Elephas maximus indicus: one gene and its partners. The protein of the gene in region 4 interacts with the protein of the main gene of each other region in a biochemical or structural test. Links are inferred from orthologs where the notes say so. Each region holds a gene or a part of one and is shown on either strand. Other genes may lie near its edges. The genes, in order: MBP, GAB2, ESR1 and MAPK1.

Evidence for each region.
Region 1: of the proteins of MAPK1 (region 4) and MBP, one has a biochemical effect on the other in vitro, tested with the Homo sapiens proteins (16 studies listed by BioGRID and IntAct). The link is inferred for Elephas maximus indicus from reciprocal best matches to the Homo sapiens genes MAPK1 and MBP.
Region 2: of the proteins of MAPK1 (region 4) and GAB2, one has a biochemical effect on the other in vitro, tested with the Homo sapiens proteins (2 studies listed by BioGRID). The link is inferred for Elephas maximus indicus from reciprocal best matches to the Homo sapiens genes MAPK1 and GAB2.
Region 3: of the proteins of MAPK1 (region 4) and ESR1, one has a biochemical effect on the other in vitro, tested with the Homo sapiens proteins (3 studies listed by BioGRID, with this or other methods). The link is inferred for Elephas maximus indicus from reciprocal best matches to the Homo sapiens genes MAPK1 and ESR1.

The regions. Positions count from the first base shown.
Region 1 is NC_064829.1:84,280,952-84,288,300, reverse strand, and holds the start of MBP (myelin basic protein), read left to right. Parts: upstream 1-4,079; 5' UTR 4,080-4,167; intron 4,168-4,777; exon of another isoform or gene 4,778-5,121; intron 5,122-7,349. UniProt on the Homo sapiens protein: The classic group of MBP isoforms (isoform 4-isoform 14) are with PLP the most abundant protein components of the myelin membrane in the CNS. They have a role in both its formation and stabilization.
Region 2 is NC_064825.1:43,710,619-43,718,678, forward strand, and holds the start of GAB2 (GRB2-associated-binding protein 2), read left to right. Parts: upstream 1-5,005; 5' UTR 5,006-5,115; coding exon 5,116-5,190; intron 5,191-8,060. UniProt on the Homo sapiens protein: Adapter protein which acts downstream of several membrane receptors including cytokine, antigen, hormone, cell matrix and growth factor receptors to regulate multiple signaling pathways.
Region 3 is NC_064819.1:223,110,078-223,117,442, forward strand, and holds the start of ESR1 (estrogen receptor), read left to right. Parts: upstream 1-4,206; 5' UTR 4,207-4,722; intron 4,723-7,365.
Region 4 is NC_064840.1:20,789,023-20,796,538, reverse strand, and holds the start of MAPK1 (mitogen-activated protein kinase 1), read right to left. Parts: upstream 3,325-7,516; 5' UTR 3,092-3,324; coding exon 2,976-3,091; intron 1-2,975. UniProt on the Homo sapiens protein: Serine/threonine kinase which acts as an essential component of the MAP kinase signal transduction pathway. MAPK1/ERK2 and MAPK3/ERK1 are the 2 MAPKs which play an important role in the MAPK/ERK cascade.

The DNA of each region.
Region 1 (7,349 bases), on a different chromosome or scaffold from region 4:
TTAGTATCAGACATGTTCAGAGGTTACATAGGTAAAAGCCAGACAGAAATTCGCTTCAGTAAAAACTACTGTGTTCCATTTGTCTTGCACAATTTAGCCAAAATCTTCAAATACAAGTCATTTTCTTATAATTGCAGACAGTGAGTGTATTGTGAAAAAACTTCAAAGCCTCCCTGTACCCTGAGGGCTACTGGTATTTGTAAAATATCAATGAAACAGCTAACCCCTCTCACTTGGTCTTTGAAGAAATGAAGCCAGAAGACATCTGTTTAAACAGGTGGAGGGGGAGAGACTAAGAGGAGCAGCTTAGTGCCCTCATTTTTTAATTTGTGCTCTTACTGCCAAGACCACAGAGCCAGACAGAGGGGGATTACCAGGAAAGCTGCTGAAACTGAAACACCCAGATCCCTTCCAAGATCTTGTACCTAATTTTGAATTCACATTTTTGGTATTTAGCTTCTTAAAGAGGCCCCCAGATTTTATAATGGTCCTGCCCTGCAAAACTTGGATACCCCTGTGCCTACCTGCATTAAAGAAGGTTAAAGGGGGCAAGTGAACTTTAAGACATTGACCACCACTTTCAAACCTGAAAGTGGGGGAAGGCAGAGACTTCTCTGCTTGGTGATTCTGGTCAGCTTTAAATGTGCTGTCATTTGCCCCTTCTTTAAAAAATAGTCATTTCTGTAATCATTTGGCTACTTCCTTTTTTTTTTTTTAGCTCCCTTTGATAGTAAAACTCCCTGAAAGGACTATGTCATGCCTCATCACCAAGTTTCCCCTCCCATCCTATCTGAACCCATTCCAGCCAGGCTATGTCCATTCCCTAAGGGAGCTCGCCCAGTCTCCAGACCAAAAACACCACCAATATAACTAACCAAAACCCAAAACCAGTTGCTATCCAGTTGATTCCAACTCAGGGAGACCCCACGTATATCAGAATAGAATTGTGCTCCATAGGGTTTTCAATGGCTCATTTTTCCAAAGTAAATAGCCAGGCCTTTCTTCCGAGGCACCTCTGGGTGGATTTGAACCACCAACTTTTTGGTTAGTATTCGAGAGTTTAACCATTTGCACCACCCAGAGACTAATATGAGTGACCAAAAAAAAAATCTAAACCCATTGCCGTTGAGTCGATTCCAACACATAGTGACCCTATAAGACAGAGTAGAACTGCCCCATAGGGTTTCCAGGGAGCAGCTGGTAGATTCGAACTGCTGACATTTTGGTTAGCAGCCATAGTTCTTAACCACTGCACTACCAGGGCTCCAATATAACTGACACTCCCCAAATTATCTGTCCCACCCAGCCCTCTCCTCTGAATTAAACATATAAGTTTCCAACCACCACTCGGATACCCAATAGGCATACCCAACTTCTCATGCCCTAAAAAGAATTCCTGGCCTTCTCCCCAAAGTGATGGGAGAAAAATGTTTGAGAAGTTTCACTTTTTTACCAACTGGCCAGAGTCCTACATAATCTCCTTCTCTTTCCCCTGCTCCCCCCCACCGCCCCTGCCACCACTGGTATTTCACCAGAGTGAAGTGATGAGTGGCTTTTGGTTGGGTAAATGTGGTGGGCGGAGGGGGGCTGTGGTCTGCGGGCCCCTGACGTCTTCTTGTTCACATGATTTTTTTATATTGCACTTCCTGGGCGTGCTTTCGGCTAATTTTCTTGCACTGAGTGGCCACGCCAGGGTCCACCCAGTGTTGACCAGAATTCATAGTGAAATAGCCACCTGTCAGTTGAGCACAGGGAAATTATCTGCCTTGTGAGTTATCACCAGCAAATCGTACATTACAGACTAGGGAAGAAAGTGAGGCTCAACCCTCTTCTGAACGAAATATAATTACACAGATAAATCTGTCAATGAGAAAGAGAAAGAACTCAAAATATATGCACTCTGAAGTCTAATGGAAATTATTTAATTTACTTAGTCCCTGTAGTTTGGATGCTTTGGTGTTTATTTCAACTCCACAAAAATCCACCAAGTACCCATCATGCATAAAACATGGTGCCATTTGCTGCGACATCAAACTCTGTAAAGGGCACGGTTCCCGCCCTCCGGTTGTCCCAGGGGCAGTGGGAGATGGCTGTACTGCAAGACGATTGTCTTGGAAGCATCTCAGACACAAGGGTTTGGGCGGCTAGCTTTTACTTTTCAATAGAGTTCTTTCCGTTTTACTGAGCACGAGGAACAGGTCAAGCTTCCTCAAGCAAAATCTCAAACGAGTCATTTTCCTAAAGGAACACGGCCATCTTTACACAGAAGTCTGACTCCGCAGCCAAGCGCCTGACTCCTGCCTAGCCCATGTCCCCACCTTGTGTCCTTTCCATAACAGGGAGGAAAAGCATCTAAGACTGGACCTTTTAAAGGCAGACCAAGAGTCTTACTACTTTGTATTGTGTCCTTACCTTTTCTTTGTAGCACCATGAATTAAAAAAAAAAAAAAAAATCTAGCCATCTGCCTGCATGGTTGTTATATACCAACTAAGTGTGGATGGAAACCCTGGTGGTGGCGTAGTGCTTAGCAACTGTGGCTGCTCCTTGGAACCCTGTGGTGCAGTTCTACTCTTTCCTATAGGGTCTCCATGAGTCGGAATCAACTCCAGAGCAATGGGTTTGGGTTTTTTTGGTAAGTGTGGAAGGTGCAATTTTAGAAATACTTAGAGTCCTAACTGAAGGTTGGCAAGCCTGGATTGTGTAAAAATGACTGTTGGCACATGCAATGTGTTTATAAACCACTGAAAAAATTAGCAGAAATAGCATAAAGCAGAAGGACAAATGTTACTTTTTCCTGTGGTCAACAGGGATCCCCCAAGCCCAGCGTTAAACCACCCCTGTGGGTGTGAATGTCAGTCCTCCCTGGCGTCCCAGTCACCCCAAGATGAATCAAGGAGACTGTTGGAGGGAGGAAGGAGATGACTGTGACGCCACAACCGCATGCAACATGGGACCCAGCACTCCACCATGCCCTGGCCTGGGGGTGGGAGGTAAGAGTTGGGAGGCTGGGAACTTCCGGAGTAAGATTTCACTGTCCTGTGCACCCTCAGCTCTTGTCTGCCCCCCATCCCACCGCTTAAAGTGAGCGTGAAGTCAGGTAGCAGGAGACCAACCAGATGAAAAATGGGTATAACCAACATTCCTTTTCCACTGCCTTTTCTTACCGCCAACCCACTCCCAGGCCTTCGTGTCCTCTCCTCTAGCCAATCTTCTCTCAGGAAAGGATTAGATCAAGTATCTTTATACTGTTGTGGAAATACCGCACAACGCGTTACTATTTTGGAGGTATCTAAACTAGTTTTTCTTTTTTTTTTTATCTACTCTGCTTGTCCGGAAACCCTGGTGGTGTAGTGGTTAAGTGCTACGGCTGCTAACCAAAGGGTCGGCAGTTTCAATCCACCCGGCGCTCCTTGGAAACTCTACGGGGCAGTTCTACTCTATCCTATAGGGTCACTGTGAGTCGGAATTGGCTCGACGGCACTGGGTTTCGTTTTTGTGTTTTATCTCCTTGTCTTAGAATTATCATCAGCACATTAACACTGTTGGTGGGTCCTCAGGGTCCTGGGGGAGGTTCGGTTTGAGTGGGGAGTCCCTGAACCACGGCGAGCGTCTCTGCCTCCGTCGCCTGTGCGTGCAGTGCAGTGCAGCATGGAGGAGATGCCATCTCAGGTCCCTCCAGCCGAGGGGGGCGGCGTGGGACTGGTTTCCAGGCTCAGCCAGAAGGAAAGGTTCAAGTGGTTGCAGTTAGGTCCTGATCTGCTGTGGCCAAAGCCTAGAGTCCCACCCTCCTGGGGCGGGTCCCCCGTGGGTTCTCGTGTCACTGGCGCTCCGAGCGGGCGAGCGCGGCGCAGCGCCGCCACGGGTCCTCGGGCTCGCACAGGGGCGCACTGGGGCGCGGGGAGGTGTCTAGGTGGGGCGCCCGGCGGCAGGCGGTGTTTACCTGGCAGCAGGAAGCAGGGAAGCGGGGGCGGAGAGCGGCGCGGCCTCAGAGTAGGGCCTGTCAGTCTGCGAGCCTCCCGCAGCGAGGACAAGCCTGCGGTCCCGGCGGCCCGTGGCCCGACCCCGGAGAGCGGCGGCCGCCCTGGGACCCGCTGCCCGCGCGGCGCCCAGACCTGGTGCGGGACCGGAGGGGCAGGAGCGCAGCCCGGACCAGCGAGCACAGCCCGGTGGGTGACCGTGAGGACAGAGGCGGCCGGACCCCTTTGTCCCTTTTTTCCCTCGGAGCGGGTGGGGGCCGCGGGGTCCCGGCGGGGTCCGGGCGCGCGGCGCTCACCTGTGCAGGGCCGGGCGAGGGGGCGGCCCTGCGGTGCCGAGCTCAAGCCCCCAACCCCCTGGCCTGGCCAGAGGCGAACCCCCGGGCTGCCATGGGGTCGCGGGCCCGCAGAGGCCTGAGAGGGGAGAGGGCGCTGCGGCTGGGCAGAGTTCAGGGGTGAGAGGGACAAAGGTCACAGGGGCCGCTCTCGGCCAGGGGGAGGGCAGACGGGGGATCCGTACGACATTTAGTGCCTTCAAATTACACACCTGGAGCCGAGCGGACACCCCCTGCCCCCTCCCTGCGCGCGCGCGCGCACACACACACACACACACACACAGGAGGAAGTGTAGTTTCCCTTTGAGGAAGGAGGGCGGCGACACACGTCCCAGTACCCCGCTTCCGCCTTCCTCTGGTCAGTCACCCAGGGCTCCTGGGGCTGGCCCAAGCACCCTGCAGCCCACTTGCAGCCCACCTGCAATCCCATGCGCACGATCTGTCTACCAGTCCCACCGGCAGCCCACCTGCAGGAGTTGCTCTGTTCTTCCTGAGGCAGGCTCGGGGCACCTTCGACGGAGGGCGCCCTCCTGTGCAGGGCTGCCCGTCCTGACCCTGATGCTTTCGGTTTCGGCCACCCCTCGGCTAACCTGTTTGTATGGTGGTCACTCTGCTGACCTGAGGTGGCTCTTGGCCCTCAGGGGTTCTCTTGGTGGCAGCACCTGGTTTCTTAGGGTCCACTTCAGCCTCCATTTCGGAAGGTGGGGTGGGGATGGAGCTCAGTAAGACCCTGGCAGGAATGAGGCCCCTTCCCAGTTCTCTGTTTCCCAGTTGTGACAGTGTGAGAATCAACAACATGTGCTGCTTCTGGGAGCTGGTAAAGCACGTGCAGAAGCAAGTGTGCTGGCAGGCTGCCAGCATCCCTCAGTGGGGCCTGGCTGCTATTGTTGGGTGCTGTCCAGTCGATTCTGACTCATACCAAAAAACCATTGCTATCGAGTTGCTGCTGGCGGGGTTCAAACCGCCGACCTTTCAGTTAGCAGCCCAGTGCTTAACCAGTGAGCCACCAGGAGACCTGGCTACACGTGTGGTCATCGAGTGGATTTTGACTCACAGCAATCCTATAGAGTAGAACTGCCCCAGAGGGTTTCCAAGGCTGTAATCTTTACGAAAGTGGATCACCAGGTCTTTCTCTCATGGATTCGAACGACCAACCTTTGGATTAGCAGCCAAGCACTTAACTATTGCACCACCGGGGGCCTGGCTAGAGACAGGATTTTCCAGGTGATGGGAAAGTCTGGTGGCATAGTGGGTAGGTGCTACCACTCCTAACCAAGAGGTTAGCAGTTCAAATCCTCCAGGCTGTCTTTGGAAACTGTGGGGCAATACTACCCTGTCCTATAGGGTTGCTATGAGTTAGAATCGACTCGACAGCAGTGGGTTTGGTTTTGTGGGGGAAGTCTGGTTTGAGACCCTTGTTTTATAGCATTTTACAGATGACCTCCTACAAGTCAGGGGCCTTCCCTGAACTGGGGCTCCCCCCTCCAGGCCATCACCGAGGGACATTTGGGGTCATGGGACACCCTGGAGAGAGCAGGTCTGGAAAAACAGGACCTGACTTGTCAGGGTACCTATACCATAGTTGTGTGTGTCCCTGGGAGCCAGGGGAAAGTATACTTCAGCAGGTTTGCTTCCGAGTGGGATGAACACAAATCAAGTTAAAAGGCAGGAGAATCGAGTTAAAGCTACTGCAAAACATTGGTTTACAGTCATTCTCAAGAATTAGCTCTTCTGAAATGATTCTTCTTCTTAAGAAGACAAAAGCTCTTTGGTTCAAATCCACCTTGAAAATCTTTCTGAAGCACCGTACTTCTGCCCAGTGACAAGACCAGTTACTCAGTGATTTGGTATTTAATCGCTCCATGGTGACTTTGAACTTCAGTTCTTGCTTCTTGGTGGGTGGTGAGTGTGAGGATGTGTGTTAATCAAAAGCATCTACTGAAAACCGAAAATTGTTGAAATCAACCATTCTCGTTACTTTCGTACTTCTGTTTGAACTTTTAAATGTTAATTGAAGGTTAATTTGATTTTTTCAGTTTTTCTCTAAATTCTTTAAAAATTTAACACATTTAAGATAAGCAGCTGCCTCCATGCCTTCTCTGTTGTTGATGTTAGCTGCTATCGACTTGGCCCTTGACTCGTGGCGACCCCATGTGACAGAGTAGAACTTCCCCGTAGGGTTTTCTTGGCTGTAATCTTTATGGAGCAGATTGCCAGGTCTTTCTCCTGCAGAGCAGCTGGTGGGTTCAAAGTGCCAGCGTTTTGGTTAGCAGCCGAGCACTTAACCATTGTGCCATCAGAGCTCCTTGATACTATCCTATTGCCCGGATCAGTCACAGGAGTCAGCCCAAGGCACGCAATTAGCAAGTGGCAGAGCCAAATTCCTTGCAGGTTTTCACTGCTGCCCTGCACTGCTCTGCGGACTAAGGCCTGCAGAGCACCCTCCGTTTTTTCTGGTTTTAAAGACTACTGCTAATGAAGGATTGCTCCCGCAGACCATGTTTCTTTGTCAGAATGATTAGATCGTGAGGATCTGCTGTATGGCTTGGTTAGGTGTCCTCCCCTCGTAGCCTCAGTTGTCAATAAAGAATAAAAGAGTATATTTTAATTACTCTTACTATAATTTTTAATAAGTAGCCATGAAGCATAAGACATGTCCAGTATAGCCACTTGAGGGAGGTTCAGTCATGCCTGAGCCCCTTGGCCTGGGAGCTGTGTTTGATGGAACATACAACATGCCTGGGAGAACCCCAGGCTGCTCAGCAGATGGTGGAGAAGAAGCCAGGATATCTACAAGTAGATTTAAACCTGTATCAGTCAACATTTAACCAGAGAAATGGAGCCAGGAGGCGATGTATACTAAGAGATTTATATTCACCAAATTGGCTTACGTGATGGCACAGGCTAGCCAGGCAAGTCCAAAATCCGCAGGGCAGGCCGGCAGGAAGGGTAAGCTGGAAAACCTGTGGTCCACATTCAAAATTTCCCCCAGTGTTTTGTAAAGGAGGGGGCCTAAAAAGACCAGAGAAACGCTCAAAG
Region 2 (8,060 bases), on a different chromosome or scaffold from region 4:
TGATTCAGTAAATCTGAAGTGGAAAGGCAAATCCTAGCTGCCACAGAGCAATTAGTACAGACTCTGATTCTTTACAAGGGAGAAACTTGGAAACTGGGCTTGCTCAAACTTTTCTTTTAAATAAAGTTTATTTCCAAAAATAACCAGTTGGAAGCCCTGTTTTAAGTACCTTCAAAGATACTACTCTCTGTTATGCGCGGACTAGAGAGATATGGATGCTTCAGGGGTCCCAGCCCCTACCCGTTATCCTTCAAAGGTTGTTTGTTCATTTCTCACGACAAACATTTAATGAGGATTTATTGTGTGTGCCTTGTGCCAAGCTGGGAGAAAGAAACAGCCCTGCCCTCAAGGAACTCACAGTTCCTTGACATATTTGCAGTACACTGTGATAACCTGATTTATTAGGTCCAGTGTGAATACAAAGAAAAGAATGAATATGCTGGGGAGTAGGGATGGTGAGAGGAGCCCTGGTGGCAAAGTGGTTAAGAGCTCGAGTGGTTAAGAGCTCAGCTGCTAACTGAAAGGTCAGGTAGCTGGAACCCACCAGCCACTCCTCAAGGGGAAAAAGACTCAGCACACAGCCTTGCATACCCCATGTGCAGTTCTACTCTGTGCTGTAGGGTCGCTATGAGTCAGAGCCAACTCCACAGTCATGGGTTAGTTAGGGATGGTGTGTTTTAGGGACAGGGGACTTAATGTATTCAAGATGCAATCTAAGGTAGGAGTTGTCTCTGGGTGCAACTGATTTGCACCAGGATCTGTGCAACACAAACCTTCACCAGTGGCAGTGGAAATGTCCCGGGAGCCTAGCTGCCACAGAGCAATTAGTACAGACTCTGATTCTTTACAAGGGAGAAACTTGGAAACTGGGCTTGCTCAAACTTTTCTCTTAGAGTTTATTTCCAAAATATCTCCCACTGGGTGTAGAATCAAGTAACTTCAGACTGTGAGCAGCCACAGACAGGGAGGAAACCCAAGTAGGTTCAAATACACCCCAAGCTTACCACCAGATAGATCTCAGCCCCAACCAGATGCCAAGAGTTGACCTAAGTCAGAGGGTAATTTGATGGAGGGAACCAAGTGGGCCCAAAGCCAAGTGGGGTTAAAAAGATACATATTGCAACAAGACTGCGAGACAAGTGTCCTGCAAGTCCTCTGTTGAGGTGGCTCAGCTGGTCACACTGATCTTGCAAGCAGCACTCAGCTCTGAAATTAACCTGTCTTTTTTTTTTACTAAATCGAAGGGGAGAAAAGGCAGAAGGGCTAGGACACAGCTATCCATCCCCACCCCCTGTCCTATCCCTGACGTCAGGCTTGGCGTGGGTGGTATTAATCACCCCAGCCTGGTGTGCAGTTGAGGACAGCTCTCCTCCCAGCCCTTCCAACCCGGCTCTGGGAGCGTTCCACCAGCCATGCACCTGCCGCTGGCCACAAACCCTCAACTCCCAGACAGGCACGGATGCAGGCTGTCGCTGACAACACTCAAAGCCACAGTGCACCCTTTAAAACCCAGGCTGTGGTGGGAGGAGGGGCGGGAAGCAACAAAACGTGGTACTTACGCTTTCCTCCCAGGTGTGAATTTCTCTAACCTCTGCAATGTCCCTCCCCACGACCCTGCCCACAATAGGATGGTCATTTCCTGGAGATTTAATGAGAATATAAAATTAATGGCCCAAAGAGCTCCTTGGAGCCGGTCATTAATTCCCCCAGGAAACACCCCAAGGTCTGTAATCGAAATTGCCTAAATTATAGGCCAGCGATGCATATCCACGCAGGGCAGGGGGCTAGGTGGGGGGCAGGCAGATATCGTCCCATGTGGTTCCGGTAGGTGGCGCCTGCCTTCATGTAAATAAATCACTCAAATAATTTGTTTTCCATTTCTCCGCAGCAAAAACCAGACAGCATTAAAAAAAAAAAAAAAAGCAGGGGGTGGAGAGGACTTAGTAAAGGCCCAGACAGGAACGTTCTGTCCGAGGGCTGTTTCCAGGCCTGGCACGCATCTCAGGCTCCGAAGACTGAGCCATACCGGAGTGCAGCCAGGGAACCTCAGCTGCAGTCGGGTCTCCTGTGTGCAGACCGTGCTGGGGTTCTGTGCTAGTCACTGGCAGTCAATGAAGAGAGATGTGGGTGGGAGTGGGGAGCGAGAGAGCACACAGAAGAGCCTCTTTCTCCGACCTTTGGGGAAGGAGGGAGGTGTTACAAAGAAAACTTCCTGAAGCCTACACTCTGTGACTGCTGTGTTTTAAGGCCTCTTCTGTCATTGGCTCTGAAACACCCAACTTTTCTATTTGCACATAGAATTGTAAATAACAATATGGGGCCTTTTGGTAAACAAAAGACTCTAACGAGTTTCTGGCAAAATGCTACCTAACCTCAGCTAACCATTGCTGTACAGATGCCCAGTCTGTATCTTGAATCATGTAACTATCAAAGGATATATAATAGAAGATTAGTGTTCTAGGGAAAGATAAGGCATCTGTATGCCTGACTTGCATCACAAATCTCAGCTGCAGCCAAACCATGCAGTTTTCTCAGACTCTTTGCAATCCCTGAGACGTGGCATCATAACTCAGATGTGAATGAAGTCAGAAAGATTGTTTTATTTCAGTTGGGAGTCACTGCCTACTGATTGATTTGGCAGACTTTGAGTATTTTTATATTTACATCTTACAGGATTTCAGTGTACTTTTAAACCCAGAGGTTAAAATGGCCATAAGTCTCATGGTGGCCCTCATGTGGCTGAAGGATCTCTGAACCGAAAGGCCAAGGGAGCTCTGGTTTCATCTATAGCATGAATGTCCTGGCTTTAAATTCTGTCCAGCAGCATACTGGGCAGCGAAGAAGTCCATGAAATGTTGGGTCCCGGAGAACAGATCTTTAAATCTCCCAAGGTGCCTAGAAGGGCTAAGCACATTGTGCAGGGAATAAGTTCTGACACACTGATTGAAGTGGGTGAACATCCAACCCAGCAAAGATTTGTGAACCCAGATGGATATTCAACTGCTTGAAATAAGTAGATTAACTGCATGAAGACAGCAAAGTGAACAAAATAACCCTAGCCACAGGTTGCACAGGGCAATGTGAAATGCTGCTTCTTTAACTCACCTGTCCATAGCACAGTTCCCCATTGATAAAATGGGTTACTATTCACTTCTCAGAGCCGTGGTGGTGCATGGTTAAGAACTTGGCTGCTAACCAAAAGGTTGGCAACTGGAATCCACCAGCTGCTCCTTGGAAACTTTATCAGGCAGTTCTGTTTTGTCCTATAGGGTAGATATAGGATCACTATGTGTCGGAATTGACTTGACAGCAACAGGTTTGGGATTTTTGTTTTGTTTTTGTATTCATTTCTCAGAGCCTCTGGGTGGTGCAAACAGTTAAAACAATGAGCGGTAACCCAGTGGTTCCAGGTCTGAGGTTCAAATCCACCCAGAGGTACCAAAAAGAGACAGGCCTGGTGATTTACTTCCAAAAATCAGCCATTAAAACCCTACTGAGTACGGTTCTACCCTGACACGCAGGGAGGTTGCCATGAGTCAGAGTCCACTGGGCAACTGGCTTGGTATCCACTTCTCAGAGAACTTAGGGTTGGAGCTACGTCTTAATGCTGCTTGTAAAGGTACCTTGCAAATTGAAGAGTTCCTACCTAAGGTATTTTTTTCCCTCCAGCCTCCCCCGCGAAGGGCTGGTGTTGTCAAGTATGTGTTCCGCGTACTTTATCTCAGTTAAACCTCACTACGATTCTGCAAGAGAAGTGCCATTATACAATTTACATATGAGCCCCCTCTCACCCTTCCAAAGGTCTCATAGTGCATTTGAATGAGTTAGAACTCTGGAGAATTTTGACCCTAATTTTTTATACTTTCCTCTGTGACACCATGCTTTCCAATTCACCTTGGAATGTTGTTGGTAATAGGTGCCGTCAGTGGCTCCTGACTCATAGGGACCCCATGCACAACACAATGAGACTACATTGCTCTGTCCTTCCCCATTTTCACAGTCCCTGCTATGTTTGAGCCCATTGTTGCAGCCACTGTGTCAATCTTCTTGAGGGTCTTCCTCTTTTTCTCTAACCTTCTACCAAGCATGATGCATTTTTGTTTCCTTGATTCTGCAAATCATACAAGTTTTCTTCTACTGAATTCTGTTCTTCCAGAGGCAGTGTAGGAGCCAGCTGGACTTTGTTTCCTGACAGTAAGAGGCTCCCAAGCTGATACGCAGACATCAAAGCCCTCTTCCCACTTGAAAGCAGATGAGCAGGATTCCGCCTTCCCTCTCACAGCCCTGGAATTAGGAATCTGGCTCTGCCAGGTACCAGCTCTGGGACCTTAGGCTGTCTGTAAAATGGGAATAATCTTCCCCGCCCAACTTTTAGTTTGCTAAGACAATCATGTGAACAGTGAATGTAAAAGCGCCCAGAACACAGAAGATCTGCTTCCTTCTTTCCTTCTCCCGCCAAGGGGGTGCGAGAGTTAATGAAACTCTTGATGGGAAAAAGCGGCAGACTAATTCCAGCCGGAACCTGACCCGCTGAAACCTGAAGCTCTGGGAAAGGATAGGTAACGCTAACAGGACTCGGGTCCCAGCCAGGTCGACCCTCTGTGAAAAATCGATCCTCAGTCGAAGTCTCGCAGCCCCCTACCACTCACCCTCCCCCCAGGGGCGCGGCCACCTCCCCCAGCCCTCCCGGGCTTGCTGCTTGAAGCTTCAGGGAAAAAAAGCAAGACCTCGGGGGCGCGGCCGGCGACAGCTTGCGGCGTCCGCAGCGACCTCGGGCCTCCCGGGCGGCCAGGCAGTGTTTGCGTCTTTGAAGGCGGCCCGCCGGGGGGCGCGGCGGGCTGTGGGCGTGGCGAGCGCGCGCCGCCGCTTCCTGCTGGGGCGCCCCCTCCGCGGCCGGGCCCGAGTGCGCTGGGCGCGGGCGCGCGAGCCAGAGCGGGCGCGCGCGAGCGAGGCAGCCGGGCTCGCGCCGCGCCGCCTCGTCCTCGCCCCGCGGCCGCCGGCGGCCCCGGCCCGTCCCCTCCCCCGCGAGCTGCGCACCGCCGGCCGGCCGACCCAGCGACCCGCGCCCGCGCCCTCGTCCCCCGACCCGGCCGCGGGCTCCAGTCGGCCGGCAGCATGAGCGGCGGCGGCGACGTGGTGTGCACTGGCTGGCTGAGGAAATCGCCCCCCGAGAAGAAGTTGAGGCGCTATGTGAGTGCGGACGGCGAGCGGGCGCGGCCGCCCAGGGCGCGGGCTGGGGGCGCCCCACCGCCCTTGAAGGGGCTGGGGGCTGGCCGAGGGGCCGCGCCGACGAGGGGCGGGGCGCGCCTTTGGGGTGGAGAAGCGGCTGGTGCGCCCCGCGCCCGGGGGATGTGTGGGGCACCTGCACACCTGTCACAGGTGCGCCTCCGAGGGGCGGGGCGGGCGGGGCAGCAGGTTGAGGCTGCGGCTCCTCCGCTTGGCGGGCGCGTCGGCGGCACCTCCCCAGCCAGCCTGCCTGTAAACTAAATACAGTATTGAAGTTTGTATTGATTGTTTTTGGAGACCGAGAGAGTTGATTCCCTGGGCTGGGGGAGCATAGTAACCCTGAGTGGGTTTTGCATGTGGGGTTGGAGGAGTGGGCGGAAGAGGGGGGCGCAAGCTGTGGGGCCGCGTGGTCCAGCCCCCACAAAGGACGAGGCGCCTGACACCCTCTCCCTCTTCCCTTTCTCTGCCCGCCCTCCCGGGTAGCCGCCTGCTTCCTTCCAGTCCACAGCCTCTGTCTGCATCATGGGCAGCGTCAGCGGCATGTGCAGCCCTTGTATTAAGTGACTCATTTGTTTGTCCCCCCTTCTTTCTCTTTATTCTGCATGTCTCTCACATACACCCCCCCCCCATGGTGACATTGCAGTTTGGTCTCCTCTAACTGGCCCAGGTTTTGTGTTGTGCAGCCCTTGGTGTCTGGGGTCGGAAGAGATAAGATTCTCAGTTGCCAGGTGGTGCTAACCGACATTGTTTACTGAAATTGCTGGGACAGCCGCTCCCCTCTAGGTGAGGAACTAGCAACATCAAGGAGGAGGTAGTACAGTCTGGTGCTGAGCGGTGAGGAGTTCTGGCTTTTTTTTTTTTTTCTCCCACCAGAGGATGTATGTTCCTGTAGAGGTCAAAGTACAAGACGATGCCAGTCACAGAGATTTGCCCGAAATCGGCCCTGGGGTAATCTCAGGAGGAAGGATCCCGGGAGGAAGGTCGCTAAAGGGTCTCAAGGTCTCCCATCTTGTCCCCCTTCACTTCTTATGAAATGCCCTTGCTAGACTGATTCCTGGTGCTTGACTCTCTGGGATCACTCCCACAGCCTGGAAGTGAGCTGCTGCCTTCCAGCTGCAGTGCATCAAGGGAGCTCTGAATAGACCCTGCCCTCTGTCAGCTGCACCAGTGGCTGTCCATGGGGGGAGAGGCAGAAGCTTACCAGAGTTTCCTGTCTTGGCTCCCCAGATCAGAACCAAGGGACTTTTGGCCTCTGGACTGAGGAAGTGACATTCTGTTTTTCAAAGGAAGTGTTGTTGTTGGGGAGTGCAAGAGAGTGTCTGTGTGTGTGTGTGAGAAAATGAAATCGGGCTCTTAGATCATTTGCTGGGGAAAATCTAAGGACTCGCACATGACTTTTCAAAGCGGACGTAGATTTAAAAATACAGTAGGAATTAGGGGATGAAGTGTTTGACTCAGTTTTAAAGTGCATTTTCCAGGGTACCCGTGTAGCCTCAGCATTATAATTGCTAAGAAGGAAATTTTTTCCACATCAGGGTTTTATCAGTTCATCAGGGAAGTTGAGTTTTATATTAGGGTTAAGGAGGAATTTGTAATTAACATTTTTATAAATATCGAAAAAACGAAATCTCTGGCTCCGAAAAGCTTCCAAAAATTATCAATTGAAGTGATTTCATACCAGCTAGTAGAGTGTCAATAAAAATGTGACCCTTAATTGTCAAAGTAGAATACTACCCTAAAGAACCTTGAAATTTTCTTTTTGAAACATTTTGCAAACAATTTAACACTGTATCTACATTGGACTGGTGACTACTTCAGCCCTATTACCCAGACTCTCTATGACCCATTTCTTGGGTATTTTTGTTGCTGGGCAAAAATTTAGTTCAAAATAATCAAGTTTGGAGGCTTTTGGGTCAGGACCTTTTTCACATGTTGGAACTAGTTGACACCTTGAAGTCATAATAACGATCTTAGTCTATTTCTAATCTTCCTTGCAGCTCTAGCCCGCAAGGCAACTGACCAAACCAGCAACAGCTTTTCTTAGACTAGGGTATCATGTGCTCCATTGGTATGGCTGGAAGCCTTTCCTGCTGTGAAAGTTCAGTTCCCTGGTTGAGTCTGTGTCGTTCTGTATAACCCTAAACTCCTGAGGAATAGTCTACCTTTACATGTACTTTTCCTTGGTGTTGAGAATTTCTGCACCCTGTTGTAAGTTAGAACTCTGCTGGTTCTCTGTTCATTGTAGGTCCAAGTTGGTTAGAAGCAAAGTTGGAATGAGTTATTTCTCAGCTTCATTGCCAAACCAAAACAAGCAAAGAAAGAAACCAAACCCATTGTCATCCAAGATAGCAGTTTGGAAAATAGATTACAACTATTTAAAACTTTTTAAAAACCTACCTTTTTGGGTTAATTTCAGATGGTGGTAAGTGTAGGAGGAAAAAACAACTTGGGAGAAGCTTTGGCAAGTGTTATTGGAGATTAGGGATTGTCCCCATTGACATTTTCTGTTTTATTAATCATGTGAAAGTATTAAAGGTCTATCCAGTATTTTCTGTGTGCCCAGAGGAATTGCAAATAATGACCTCTGGAAAATGGTGAGTATTGCCCTCTGGGGTGTCATGACGTTGTTGCAGTGAGAGGTTGACAGGAGCAACCGAACACCCCTCCTTCAGACCTTGTAAACTTAAAGGCCCTTCTCTAGTATGTATGTATCTGTATCTGTGTGTATAAAACCAGCTGCTGTCGCGTCGACCCCGACTTACTGCAGCTGCGTGTGTGTCAGAGTAGAACTGTGCTCCATAGCATTTTCAGTGGCTGATGTTTTGGAAGTTGAT
Region 3 (7,365 bases), on a different chromosome or scaffold from region 4:
CCTTTGTCACTTCTATAAATGTGAGAGAGTCCACTTTTTCATCTTATAGAAATTTTCAATAATAATTTCCTCACATGGGACTTTTGTGGCTTGATTTATATCTTTTCCTATGTAAAGAAGAGATGTGATTTATGAAGGCAGGTTTTTCAAGTCTTTCTATAGATGAGGTTTAAGTTTTAACTGTATTATCTGTCACTACTACCTGAAGGTAGGTTGCACTTTTTTTCTTTGAGGAATAAAACCTTTATCCCTATAAATGTCAACTCGAGCTTCAATATTGAATAAAGAACAGTAATGAGTCACTGGGTATTGGTCATATTATGGCTCTATTTTCAAATATCCTGGACCTCTACGTTGACAACAGGACTGCTGGGCTGTGTGCCTTCTGCTACAAAAATTAGCTCCTGGGATCTGGGAGGAGTGTTTAGTTTACCTAAATTCTTCCATAGCCTTTATTGCCAGGTACCCAAGAGAGTCCTCGTCCCTTGCAATCAGAAGAGCGTAACTAAAACATGAACATAACTAAAACACCGGGACATTTGAAGGAGTCCCTGGTGCAAATGGTTAATGCCCTTGGTGCTAACCAAAAGTTTAGTGGTTGGAGTCCACCCGGAGGTGCCTTGAAAGAAAGGCCTGGCAATCTGCTCCTGAAAAATCAGCCATTGGAAATCCTGTGAAGCACTGTTCTGCTCTGACACACACGCTGTTGCCACGAGCTGGAATGTACTCCAGGGCCCCTGGTTTGGTTTGGCCTGAAAGCAGTGGACTCGCTGTAACCCTGCCAGTGGCCACTGCAGCTCTAGCCAGACCCTCCCAAGCAGCCACGGCTCCAGGGCTTGCTATCTGCTAACCTTTGCTTACTGGTTTTCTCTGCAACAATCCCCTCACCCTGTAAATTCACTTGATAATAGCCTAGGCTTACTGTGGCCTCCACTCTACTCCAAGACATCTTTTCTGTTTGTGTCTCTGCAGCTCAAGAGCTCAGTCTAAGTTTCCAAAGTCATACTCTGAGATCTCGAATGTGATTGGCCAAGTTCATCTTTTCATGTTAGGTCATGTCCTAGGTCACTGGCCAGCCTATAGAAGGCTGCTCTTTGGCCAGGTCCCCATCGCTGCCCAATTAGCTGTGATCAGAAGTGGGGGGTGGGAGTCACACGGATTTGACTAGGTTGTCTTGGCAACTGCAGCTGACAACCGGCCAATCTCTCTTAGAAAGGTGAGCGAGTGGGCGGTCAGGTACTGATTGCTATCTCTAGGCAAGCAGAGTTTCCATTTTGGTTGCTCTTCATGAGGAAAACTAGAAGCTCAGAGCTGCTTTTATGGTGTGATTGAATTGAGATAGTGCTTTGAGTAGTACCCAATGGAAACAGCTTTGCTAATAAGGACAAGTGAAGAATTTGGGCAGTTAACTATGTAACTAAGTCCCAAACTCCGCTATCATCTTGGTTGTCTGACAAAAACACACTCTCCAATTCAAAAATGTGATTTTCTTTTCTTTTACTTTAGCCTGAATCACCCAAAACACAACAGTTTTTTGCTTCAATGACCCAGATTGCGTCAATTTTCTGCTTTATTTGCTTGCGGAAACCAGGATGTTAGTGGTCTTCTAGAATGGGAAAACTTATTTTTTAAAAAAAGTTTGGAAGCTGGAAAAAATTCTAGAATTTATAGATTTCATTACTCTAAGTTAATTGACACACAATATGACACCATAAAGGCATGTGTGTGATAACCTCGCCCTCTTTTTTTAAAAAAAATAAAGGTGAAGTAGATAGCATGATTCGATAAAATGTCAGGCTTTGTTTTTCAGTGTGTATGAGGAAACCAAGCACAAGTGCATGGCGCTTCTCTTTGAATTATATTTATGAGATTGAGTTTGCCTTGTGTTTATTCCCATTATATTATATTATGCTGCCTTATTTTAAATTGTTCGTTTCTTATTGTTTTGTCATTATTCAGTTTAATAGCGATAAATGCAATTTAAATAGAAACTTTACCTCAAAGGGAATTTTTCTTTTTTCTATAAGAAGGCACAGAATATTTTAAAACAAGGTTAATCCAAGCACATATTTTTATTTTTAGTGATTCAATTAGAACGGAAAACTTTAAAATTATTCATAATAACCTTTCTATATCTATCTGATAAAACCATTCTTACCCATTCACAGATAAACCTCCAAACTTTTTTTGCCCCATGTCATCTACAAGGCAAGAGTGTTCCCATAGCATATTCCTATTTGCAATTCCCTGTGTGCTGGCTCTGATTCCACCAAACCAAAGAAAACCCAGTTGCCATACAGTTCAACTCATGGCTACCCCATGTGTGTCAGAGTAGAACTGTGCTCTCTGGGGTTTTCAATGGCTGTGACCGTTTGTAAGTGGGTTGCCAGGCCTTTCTTCTGAGGCACATCTGGGTGGATTAGAACTGCCAGTCTTCATGGTTAATAGCCAAGTGCTTAACCATTTGCTCTACCCAGGAACTCCTCTGATTCCATAGTGGAGTGTTAAAAGCATGGGTCCTTGAATTGAACCACCTGAGGTTGAATCCTGGCTCCAGCTGTGAAATCTTCATACAGGTACTTAATCTCAGCATCCCAAGGTTTTCTCATCTGTAAAATGGGTTTGTGATAGTACCTACCTCATTGGGTTGTTGTGAAAGTGCTTAGACTAGTAGTTGGCCCCTAGTATGCACCCAATTTGCTATTATTTTTATTCTCTCTCTGGAGAATGCACATATTGGAATGCAAATGAATGATAGTAATGTTCTTTTAAGGGTAATCACTCTAATTCATAATTTATATTATGCTTAAATTTACATTTTCCAGTAAAGAGGAAATAATCTTAACCTTCAGTTCAGAATCCAGTGGATGTCCTATTTTGAGAACTGTTGCTCTCAGTAATTTTCTTCTCTGTACTGATGTGTACCACTGATTTTTAACAAATAGCTAGATGCTGTTTGCAAAGTGTAGTTCACCCATTCTGGCAAATATAATAATTGAGGGATTTAATTAAAAGATATTTTGCTTTCAAAAAGTTTAAACTGTTCAAAACATTTATTAAATTATTTACCTTTCATCAGAAATCATAATAAAAGTGATACAATCTAATAAGACCTCCAGAATGTATTAGTCAATGTGACTCTTTGTTAGTGAATCGTTGAACTTTTGTGGTTGTTAAATCAAAATGAAATATTTTACATATTAGCTAAAATGTCTCACGCTCTATGTTCCAGGGAAATTATCTTAGGAAAATCTGTATATTCAAGCTGTTCTATCTATGGTCTACCTCACAAGTATAGAGAAGATTACTTGAAGACAGTTAAGAACATGTATTTCAGAATGTTTTCAAGGGGACACATCTCGTGCCAATCACCTGGGATGGGTTATTTGTATGTGTGTGTATGCGCGTGAATGAATTGCATAAGATAGTTCCTAACAGTGCGGGTGTAGCTAAACCAAATAAGGTCTGTTTGACTCCTTTCTCAGTTATCCTATTTATCCATTTATTAAACACATACACACAGAGAGGGAGAGAGAGACAATGATTTGAGTTAGGCAAGGTTTTATTTTTTGAACAGTTTCACTGAGATAGAATTGACGTATAATCAAGTGATTATGATAGTTTTGGTTTTCTTTTTCCCAAGCCAGTTTTGAGTCTCACCTCTTACCCAGCAGATGGCCATTTGCATTTAGAGATTTTAGGAAGCTCAATAGCAAGGGACTCCTGCCCCTCCTTTCTCCCCCCCGGCATTCTCATTTCCAGAAAACCAGCCTTTCTCCAGGCTTGTAAAGTAGAAAAAGTGAATCAACTTTTAAAAATCCTTTAAACTACATGCTGCATAGACCACGAGCTGACTATAAATGATTAAAATCCCAATATTATTTTTTAAAATTTCAATATGATTTTTTTAAAGCTCATTTTCGATTTCAGGATTTTATCTCAGTGTAAAAAGACAGAGAGAGGGAAAAAAAATAACAAGCAAACCCTTAATCTGTTGCCGGAAATGCCGGACAGTTTAGGACATAAGATCATGTGACAGCAGGAGGGGCTCAAAAGCCAGGCAGAAGGTAAACCTGTGCAGGTTATTAAAGTTAAGAACCGAATTAATCAGTGACGAGAAGTGCAGAGCCGGCTGGTGAGGCAATGGCTGCATGAGAACGTGGAAACCACCCCCCCCCCAAAAAAAACTCGCCCAAGACGCGTCCTCACCCCCGGTTTTCGCTGTAATTAATTTTGAATTAACACACTTTATGTGCTGAATACCTGCTTTATTTACTTATTTTTTTCCAACTACACACGCTTGTCTTGGCTCCAAGGTTTATCAGAAACAAAGAAGAAATAGGCTGGATTACATAAAAATATGTTTCAGGCAGATTAACACATTACTTATTCCTCATTAAAGATCTGTCTTAACCAAAGAGCTAAGAAGTTTGAATCAGGCCTGGCTTGGAGAAAGGCGGCCACCCCCCTCTTCTCTTTCTCCAAGGCGATTTTCCAATCCTAGTCAAATGGTGGTGCTAGTTCTTTATTTTTGAGTGGCTGCATTTCCTAATTTCATGGTCGTAGCAGCCTGTGTACAGGCTCAGAACGGCTCTCCCCCCAACTGAAAATGCAGACTCCAGGCTCAGAAGCTCCTCACCGGGCTTGAAAGGGTCCCACTCCTTTCTCCTGCCCTTTCTATAGCATCAGAGGACACTGTCTGAGTGACTTTCTTCTCTACAAGTAGGTATTCTGTTTTCTTCTCAATTTCTTTCCTTTTTTTTTTTTTTTGCTATGTCTGCTACTGTTTACAAGCGTGATGTAACTTTAGAGCCTACCTCTCACATTAAAAGATGTTCGTTTTTCTCTGAATGCTCCGGGGGTATTTTGCAAAGTCGCTGGCAAGCCTTGCTACCATGGAAAAATGTGAAATGGAAGCTCGGTACAGTGGAAATCCACTTTTGGAGTAACATTCGGCTGAGTCAGAGAGCTGCAGTTACCGTTTTCCGAGCGCAGCGCTGACAGGCTGCCCGCCCGCCCCAGATAACGAATATTTATTGGATCCTGCTCTAGTGATGAGGTTCTGGATCTGGGAAGCGTGTCGGAAACTTACAAGTTCTTGATTTGTCTGCTCACAGGCTAGCAGGAGCATACGACCTGTTTTCTTAATCTTGGGTACTGTAACTCATGGGAGTGTGAACCAAGCAGGCTGAATAAGCCGTTATTTGCTTCCTGAAAGCAGTGGAGTTTTCTGACAAGCTTCACAATCTTGCAACACAAGGTGACACCCTGTCTTTAAAGCGCCCTATGGTTTGAGGCCAGTCCTTTTGAGTCCTGCAACCTCAGCCTTCTCTGACGTGACAGACCATCGGTCACCTTTTGCAGGATGGTGTGTACTGGAGCGTCTCCGCATGAGCAGGAGTTCCTTGCGCCGCGATGTGGCAGGCACAAAAGCCAGGACAGACTACTTTCGTTTTGGCTAGAGGGATACGACACATTTCAGGAAATGTGCGTTAAGTTCTAAGCTTCATGCTTTGTCTAGAAGGTGACAAGTTTTTGTTCTCGGACAAGCCCATAGAAGCGAACTTTTTTTTTTTTTTTTTTTTTGCACTAACTGTATGGTTTGGGTTTTATCAGAACTTAGAATCATGGCACAGATTCCCGTACAAAGGTGCCAGATTTTTAACAGCTTTATGGGCCGGATCTAATAGACGGGCACAGTGACTCCCAGCATGTAGTGGCTGGGAAATTCCTCTGGTTTTGAACTTGATATAGATGTCTTTATATTTCCATGTTGTCAGTGAACTTGTGAATTAGAGGCCTTCGAACTGAATCGTAAAATGCACAGAGAAATGAAAGAAGTGGAGTTGGTTGAGAACTTCCCAGATCTTCTACTCTATAAAATTTCTTTCTGTTTCTCCAAAGCCAATGTTTGCTCCGATTTTGCGAATATTCCTTGAAGACCGTCCACTAGGCCTTGAAATGCCTGGATCTAATATGGTAGAAGTTGTTAGATTTTCAAAGAAATTAGCAGTAACAAATAATTTAGGTATCGGAAGCATCTCATGTAAGGAAAAAAAAGCTACATTTTGAATACAAATACAAAAGTCATATTTATTAGCAAGATATTTTTCTTAGACAGTTGGAAATATTTGTTTTATTTCATCACTCTTGGAAAGTCATGGAAAGCTCTCATGTCTTAAAGTTGCAGCAAGAACAAAGTCAAACAACCATCTTTTATTTCAAATAGCTATCTTTTACTTTGCTAGAAAGCTTAGACTTCTGCTCAGACCTTCCACGGTGAATAACCCTTTGCTGAGGAGTCAGACATTAAATAGTTCCATTCAAATTCACAGGGGACAACTAGGGCTTTGGAATCCAACAGGGCTCAATCCAAACCAGAACTCCCCACCGCTTTCTAGCTGTGTGAGTCAGGACAAATTATTTCACCTCTGGCCTCAAATTCCTCATCTACAAAGTAAGGATAGTAAGTGTAGCCGCCAGATGGAATTGTATGGAATAAATGAGATCAAGCCACTCATTAAACCACTCTTGCAATCTTCTTCAAGGGCTAGAAACTCAAATGAGGATGCCATTTTTATTCCAGCCCTACTACGGTGCCTGATACAGTATTTAATACATGTTGGCTGATGAATGAATGAAACTCATGGTCAGCACTGTAGCTGCTAGGAGCTTTTATCCATCTGACTATAACTGGTAACTAGACCTGGGGAAAAAAAAAAAAAAAAAGGGTTGGAAATCCACCCAGCTGAGTATGCCACTGGCTGAAATGTTGTTGCTTTTGAAATGGGCATAAAGTGTTGGAAGAGAGAGTACAGAAACTTCCAGCATCCTTCCCTCCATGTTTCTTCTCCTTCGTGACTGTGAGGATAGCCACATTCTTATGAGGAGAGCATGTCAAAAAACGTAGAAAAGGTGTGTCACCTTCATTTATACATCAAAAGAAGCATTTTGCTTCTCTGTTAGGTAATGCTTTCCCCCAGGCATGCAGAGTTGTATGTGAACTTTTAATTCAGTGTGATGCCTAAGACCTGAGACAGTCTCTTTTCCACTAGCGGTAACATAGATTTAGTGCCAATCAGGGAGTAGTAATAGCAATATTAATACTGAACATTTAGGGAGCTCTTACTTTGTCCAGTGCTTTTTTATAGGTAATTATCACATTTCACCCTCACAACCACCCCAGGGAGTCAACATTATTGTTCCAGTTTTACAAATTAGGAAACTAAGGCTTTGGGAAGTAAGTAACGCATCTGATGCCATACAGTGTTATAAGACTGGAAGCTGAATTTCTGTAATTCCAAAGCCCACGTTCTTAGCCACAGACACTATTATTTTTTTTAAGTATTAATTTGTAAAGTTTTT
Region 4 (7,516 bases):
GAAAGGCCAATCACTAGAAAAGGACATCATATTTGGTAAAGTAAAAGGCCAATGAAAACAAGGGAAACCCTCAAGGAGATAGACTGACATAACAGCCACAACAGACTCAAACATACCAACAATTATGAAGATGGCAAGGATCCAGCAAATGTTTTGTTCTGTTATACGCAAGGTCGCCATGAGGAGAAATCGACTCAACTGGCAATTAATAACAACAAATGGTTCTAACAGCCTAATTGATTCTCCCACTCCAGTTTTTTTCTATCATCCCCTCCAAAATCAAAATTAACTATGTGACTGTCTCTTTTAAAAATGGTGATGCTTCCCAGTTACACAAAATTACAGTCAAACTCAGTTGGCCTTCAGAGTCCTACACAGCTTGCCACTTAAGTAGTACTTTTCCAGGATTAGATTCTGCAGCTCAAGCTGTCACTTGCTCCTATTATCTGCCTATCAAAATCACACCCACTCTTAAAGGCCCAACTCAAATCCCACTCTTCCATCTTTATATCCTCCACACAATTATTAGGAAAGGGCTCTGCACAGAACAGGCACAATGCCTAATGACCTGACTCAGGAAATGACAAAAACTGCTAAAGAATACCCAAAAATCCTTCTGGAACATTAGGTTTTTTAAAAGATCACTATTCAAATATTAACATTTCAACCAAGAAACCCTCCACAAACCCAACAGTTAATCAACATTTATTATATGCTAATAATATGCTGTGTAGAAAATCAAATTCTCACTAGTGTATTTTATCAACCTGAAGGTAAAAAGCTAAGACCCAGGATTCAAATTCTATTTATATTTGAGTTTTACTTAGGAAAGGAAAGTCACAGTAAGAGGACTTAATATTTCACTTGAATGACAACTCGGAAGGTCAAACAAGACAACAGCAGCGATAGAAATAGTTAAATCGTATTCAAACTGATAAAAATTTTATCAGGTAGAAAAATAACTTTCAACAGAAATGTAAAGATTTTCCAGTCCACATTTTAGATGAGTGAATTTTAAAAAGAAGGGCCAAAGGATGTGGTCGGCAATTCTGAGCCTCTCATGAGACACATTCACTGGCACACTTACCAGCAGGTGTTAATGGCAGCGAAATGCAGACACAGACGTAATGCTGTGGGCAGACTCCAGTACTTTATAGGGCCCTATTTTTTTTTTTATTTCTTTTAGGCCTGACCTAATTTAATTTCTTTTTTGGCTCCTAACCCCATGAATTCATGTTAACTTTCGCAGTTATATACTGTGAAGCATTTTGCTCCTGCAGAGAATGAAGATATTCAAGATTCAATAAAGTCTCTTAAGAAATAATTTTAACTAGTCTTTCTACCTAGCTAAGTAACTTCATAAAACATGGCCCCTATGTCATTTCTAAAATTATAATCATTCAAATTTGAATACATTTCAGAAATAGACTTGCTGGTAACAGTAAAACATGCTAGAATTCTGAAATTATTAATAATACTATTTAAGGAAGCAGGGTGCAATGGAAAGAGCAGCAGCATTTGAAATTGGATCTCAGACTGAATCTGAAGTCTGACACCTTACTTGTATGACCTTCGTAACTGACTTTACCTAGAAATGCATTCTCACCTGAAAGAGGGATGCAAAAAAAAAACCCCAAACCCACTGTGTGATGTCGATTTCGACTCACAGTGACCCTGTAAGGCAGTGCAGAACTGCCCCATAGGGTTCCCAAGGCTGTAATTTTTACAGAAGCAGACTGCCAGATATTTCTCCAGTGGAGTGGCTGGAGGGTTTGGTGGGTTCGAACCACCAACCTTTCTGTTAGCAGCGAAGTGCTTAATCACCACACCACCGGCGCTCCTATGAAAGACGGATACTGCTGCCTTTTCCTCCCTCTCAAGGTGGCTGTTCAAATAAAATGAGATAAAGTAATTAGCACAATACCTGCCACAAAGTGTTCAATAAATACCAGTTTGCTTTCTTCATCAAACATAAACACAGACAAGAAGATTTAGGTGTAAGGAAGGCTACACTTCTACAAGTCTTCCTCAGCACAAAACACTACAGCTAGTTCGGGCTAATAAAAACAACACAGCCTCTCATTCCACAAACGTTTCTGAGGGATCTGGATCAAGATGAAGGAGACTGACTATACGTGGTTCTACGAGAACCCCGTTAAGGCTGCATATATTTATACTGACCGCTAAAATATTGACGAGAAAAGCCCAGTCATTTTGCTAAAACAGCTCGATGCATTCGTGCAGTTAAGAGAGCGCACTTGGGGTAATGAAAAAAAAAACGTCAAATTAGGCCCAACTCCAAAAGGTTCTTTAATAGATCAAGAGGGCGAGGCTGACTTGGCCTTCGTGAAACGCTAACAGTACGATATCAAAATCCATTTTAAAACTTAGGAACTGAAATATTCCATAACCCACACTGGTGTCACTAATGCTTTTTAGAAAGCCTGCGCAGGAGAGCACCATTAAGCACCACTGAAAATATTTCATGAAGGCCGTTCGTGGAAAACTGAAGCAAGAGAAGAAAAATCATAAATTATGTTGGTTTTCTGCACACAAGCCGAGGCGAACCGCTTTCAAGGCCACCGCCACCTCCACTGACAAGCATCGGAAGGAATTCCCGGTTTTAAAATCGAACGTCAAAAAGAAGGCTACGAGGCGAGCAAACTGGGGAGGGACGGAGGGAGGGGCGACGTTTTCGTCCCTTCCCTGGGGACCGGGCTTTAAAGCCGCTGCTGCGCCGGGTCCGGGGGGCCAGGGCTCCAGGCCTCCGCCCCCCGTCTCCTCTCGGCGAGCAAAGGCCGGCCAGATAAGCGCCGTGAGCAACGCCCAGGCCCCGCCCGGGCCCAGGCCCCGGCCGGCGCGCGACCAAGCCCGGGGTCGGGGTCGCCACGGCACGAGAGGCCGAGGGCGGGCGAGGCCGCCGCTGTGTCCGCGCCGGTGGGGCGGCCGGGCCCGCGGGAGGCGCGGACACTCACCACACCATGCCGTAGGCGCCCTCGCCGATGTACGAGAGGTTGGTGTAGCGCGGCCCCACGTCGAACACCTGCCCGCGGACCATCTCCGGGCCCGCGCCCGCCGCCGCCGCCGCCATGTTGGCTGCCGGGCCGCCGCCGCCGCCGCCGCCGCCTCCGCCGCGCTGGACTCGACGCTCCGCGGCTGCCGCTCGGCTCCCGCCGCGCCTCCCGGAGGGGCCGCCTGCAGCCGGTGCAGCTGCCGCCGCTGACCGTAAAGGACGATGGAGGCCGCCGCTCAGGCGAACTGGAGAGCCGACGGCCGCTCAGACCGACTGCCTGACTGACGGGCGGGCAGGCGAGCGGGCGGAGGGCGGGGCGCGCGCCGAGGAGGGCGCCGGGGAGAGGCCAAGCAGCGTGCGCGCGGATTGGCTCCCCGCGGCCAGGGGGCGGGGCGTGCGTGGCTGGCGAAAGCGACCGGCTAGGGCGGAGCACTGCGGCGGCTGTGGAGGCGCCGCCGGCGCGGTCACGTGTGGCTGTGGGGGAGTTGCGCGCCGGAGGCGGCCCTTGAGACGCCGAAGGAGAAGGAGGCGTCGGGAGAGGTCCTACAAAACAGAGCGTGAGGAGAGACGCTAAGGAGCAGAGACAGCCCTGCAGCGGGGGTTCCTGACAGAACCAGAGAACAACCCGGGACAGCGCATGAGGCCCGACGACGCGCCACACATCGCCGGGCTTGGGACAGGCCGCGAATCTGTAGCCCACACACAAATTTAGAGGCTTCGACGCAAGGACAGAAACTGAAAGGCCTGACCGAGATGGAAAGAGACATTTACATACTGAGAAAGTGTAAAACAAATGTGAGACCAAAACGACAGACTCTGAGAGGATCTGCGAGTCAGACAGAGGTTCCTTCAATAAATATTTGTTGAACACCTACCATGCTCCTGGGGATCCGGCACTGAAAAAAAAAAAGTATACCCTCATAGAGGTTATATTCTAGACTGAAGAGGCATGCAAATATATGTAATATGCACATTGGGATAAGTACTATGGAGAAATATAAAACAGAGTAAGGGCTTAGGGAGTAGTGGGGTTGAGACATCAGAGAAAGACACTGGGCCTCTAGAGACTGAGACCCGGATTGGTAGACGGACACCCAGAAATATACATCCAACGATGGAAATGCTAAAAACAAAACATGAAGACTTAGAGAAAATGAGACGGACACACTGAGGCTCAAAGATAGTCACAAACACCAGCGATTGGAAAATAAAAATTGGAATCCTGAAGCAGGTAGAAGCCAAGAATAGCTAAGACAGTGAGAAGATAATCCATTGCTTCTGAATCACTTCCCAAGCCAACATGCAATCCAAGAGCCACCAACTGTGGACTTCCACACATCAGCAAAGATCAACTGGTCAATCTCAAAATTTGAATAAACAATTTTTTTTAACTCTGTGAGAAAAGATTGTCGCAGGCAAGAAAAGGAATAAAGTGCTAAAGCCAAAAATTTCTGTTTTGAAATATATTTAGTCCATGAAACAGAACCCAATTTTAGGAAACACTTAGTTTTTTTTCTTCATTAGAAGGGGACATTCCATCTTTTGAAGAACAGGCCAAGATAAATGGAGAGTACCATGAAATCCAAACCACAATAACCAAAGTAAAAAAACACAGCCAAAGCAATGAGAAATAGACTTGACAGTGCACAAAATCAAATCAGCAAGATAGAAGATAAGCTCAAGAAAATTTTCAAAAATACAGAACACAGGAATCAAATTCTTTAAGAGGGAAAATAATGGAGGTGGAGAACATCATGGAGATTCAAACTATAGGCATCCCCCAAAAGAAGACCAAACAAATCAATTAAAGGCATTAATAAAAAAAAAAGGTAATATAAATTAATATAACTGAAAAGATCTGAGGCGGAAAGGAAGTGAGTTCACTGGGATTCAGAAAAACTAATAAGCAGAAACGAACTCTAAGACAATTTGGAAAAATTCTTAAATTTCAAGTGTAAAGAACAAACACAGCATCCAATCAAAAAACAAAGTTATAAAAAAGCTAAAAACTTTCTCTTCAGATTCCTCCTCTGCAATATTAACGCCAAAAAAAAAAAAAAAAAAGGAATAAGATTGATAGCACCCCCAAAGGGGTAAATTGTGACCCTACATACCCTCCCTGGATGATTTCTTTCACTCCTTTGCCTTAATTCCTCCCAGAATATCCCCGTTGCTCAAAATATCTGTTTTGAACTTCAGGTCATCCTGTCCACCTGCCCACTGGACAGTTTGATGTGACGCCTCACGTGGGAAAGGTGCTTCAGCTCCACATATCCAAAATGCCATTGGGTAACTGCACAAGTTGTGTACTCACACTGCCGGAGGGTTTGAATCTTGACTGCTCCACTTAGGATCTGTAGGACCTTGGCCTTAGTTTTCTCACTTAAGAGGTACCTGTACGTCACAAATTTGTTGTGCAGCATAAATAACGTATGTAAACAGCCTGGCACATGGTAAGTACCCAATAAAGGTTATCAGTCATTATTATCAACCCCACCCAAACCTGTTCCTCAGCTTGTGCCTGTGGACAAATAGCATCACCTTCCATCCAGACACTCAAGCTGGAAGTTTGGGCGTTATCTTCAACAACTCATTCTACCTTATTTCGAATACTCCCCCGCCCGCTCCCCGCCACGCCTCCATCCCACTGGTAACACACTCCCGTAAATTCTATTTCTTAAGGTTCCTTAAATCCTTGCTACTCAAAGTGTGGTCTCCAGACCAGCAACATCAGCATTATCTGGGAGCTTGTTAGAAATGCAGGATCCTAGGTCCCACCCCAGACCTACTGAATCAAGATCTGCATCTTAAGATCTCCCAGGTGATTTGTTCACATATTATTAAACTTTCTGAAGCACTGTTTTAAATGTAGCCGCCTCATCCCCACTGCCTCTATGTTGTTTAAAGCTTCATACTCTCTCTCTTCTGCTCTCTCACCTAGGCTATCGCAACCGCCTTTCAGTTCCTCTCCCAGCTTTCACGGTTGCCCATCTCCAATTGCTTCTCCTCACTTTATCTAGAAAGCTCTTTCTGTAAGAAATTTGACCAGTTACTCTCCTTCTTAGAGCAAGTCGATAGCTCCTCATTACACTCAGAGTGAGGCCTTTGCTGACCACCCTTCCAACCTAATCTCCTCTTACTCTCTGCTCTCTGCCCTCGATGCTCCTGTCAAGCTAGCTTAGTCTTAACTTCTCTCTTGCCTTTTGGTCTTTGCACATACAGATCTCTCTCCCTGTAGCATGCTCTCTCTGTACTCTTCCAGCATTTATGGACATGTTTTAAACTACCACACCATCATGGCATGATACAACTGTGATACACTAATTTTCTCCAGGTTCCATTGGCACTAAGCAACCCACAAGTGGCTTCACTTCTGCTTTTCTGACAGGGAGCATGTGCTGACCAGAGGACAGACAGCCCTGTTCAGGTCTGTGGCAGTTACTATTCATTCTAAGATGGAGTTTAGGTATACAGTTACTGAGTTATATTAGCATGACCCAGGCCCAGAGGGAACAGTGATCTAGCTACGGTGACAACAACAACAAATTTTTGAAGTGCAAAGGTGAGATCCAGGCTCTAGAACACTGTGAGACCATGCTAAGCCACCATCTAAGTATAAGGTCTAGCTTGGATGGATGGCTAGCCATCTGAATGTCTTCTTTATTATATCTCTAGAGTGGTGACAATTCACAGATCTGCAGAATCTTAAAAAACAATGGACATTTGTTATTTTTGCCTGCTCAGCATCAATTCCTCCTCCTGGCTGCAACAACCGAATTTTTCTTTGGTGAACTGACTCTTAGGCACTCTCATGTGGTTTGGAAGGCTAACACTACCCCTAAGTTCCAAGAGTAAGCGTGTGACTCATGACTCCCCAATCAGAGTCATAGACACTGGTTTAAAAGATGGGCGTGTGATCTGATCCTGGTCAATGACGCTCAACCCCAGACTTTTTGCAGAAACTAATAGGAAAGGGTCCCTTGGCTGCTAACTGAAATGCTGGAGGTTCCAATAACACCCAGTGGCACCTTAGAGGAAAGGCCTAGTGATCTACTTCCAAAAAATCAGCCATTGAAAACCTCATGAAGCATAGCTCTACTGTGATGCACAAGGGGTTGCCATGAGTTAGAATCGACTCAATAGCAACTGGTTTGGTTTTATTGGGAAACAGGTGCTCCCTTTCTGCTGGGTGCTAGGGGAGTGGTTATGAATATGGGGTCAAACATGCCATGATGTGAGAAACAACTTCTGAGAATGAAGAAGTGACAAGGAAAAGTCGAGTTGAGAGATGGAGATAAATTCCTGATGACAATTTGAGATGTTTCTTCCATTTGAAACCACAGAGTTCTGACTAATACACTATGCAGTTAAGTCCCTTTTCTGCAAAAATTGCTCAGAATTGTACAATAAGTCACTGAGACATGAATCATGAAAAGAGAGAAAGAACTGGCAATGACCCTTGAAACTATGTAAAGGTAGAGAAATAAGTAAATAAAAACACCT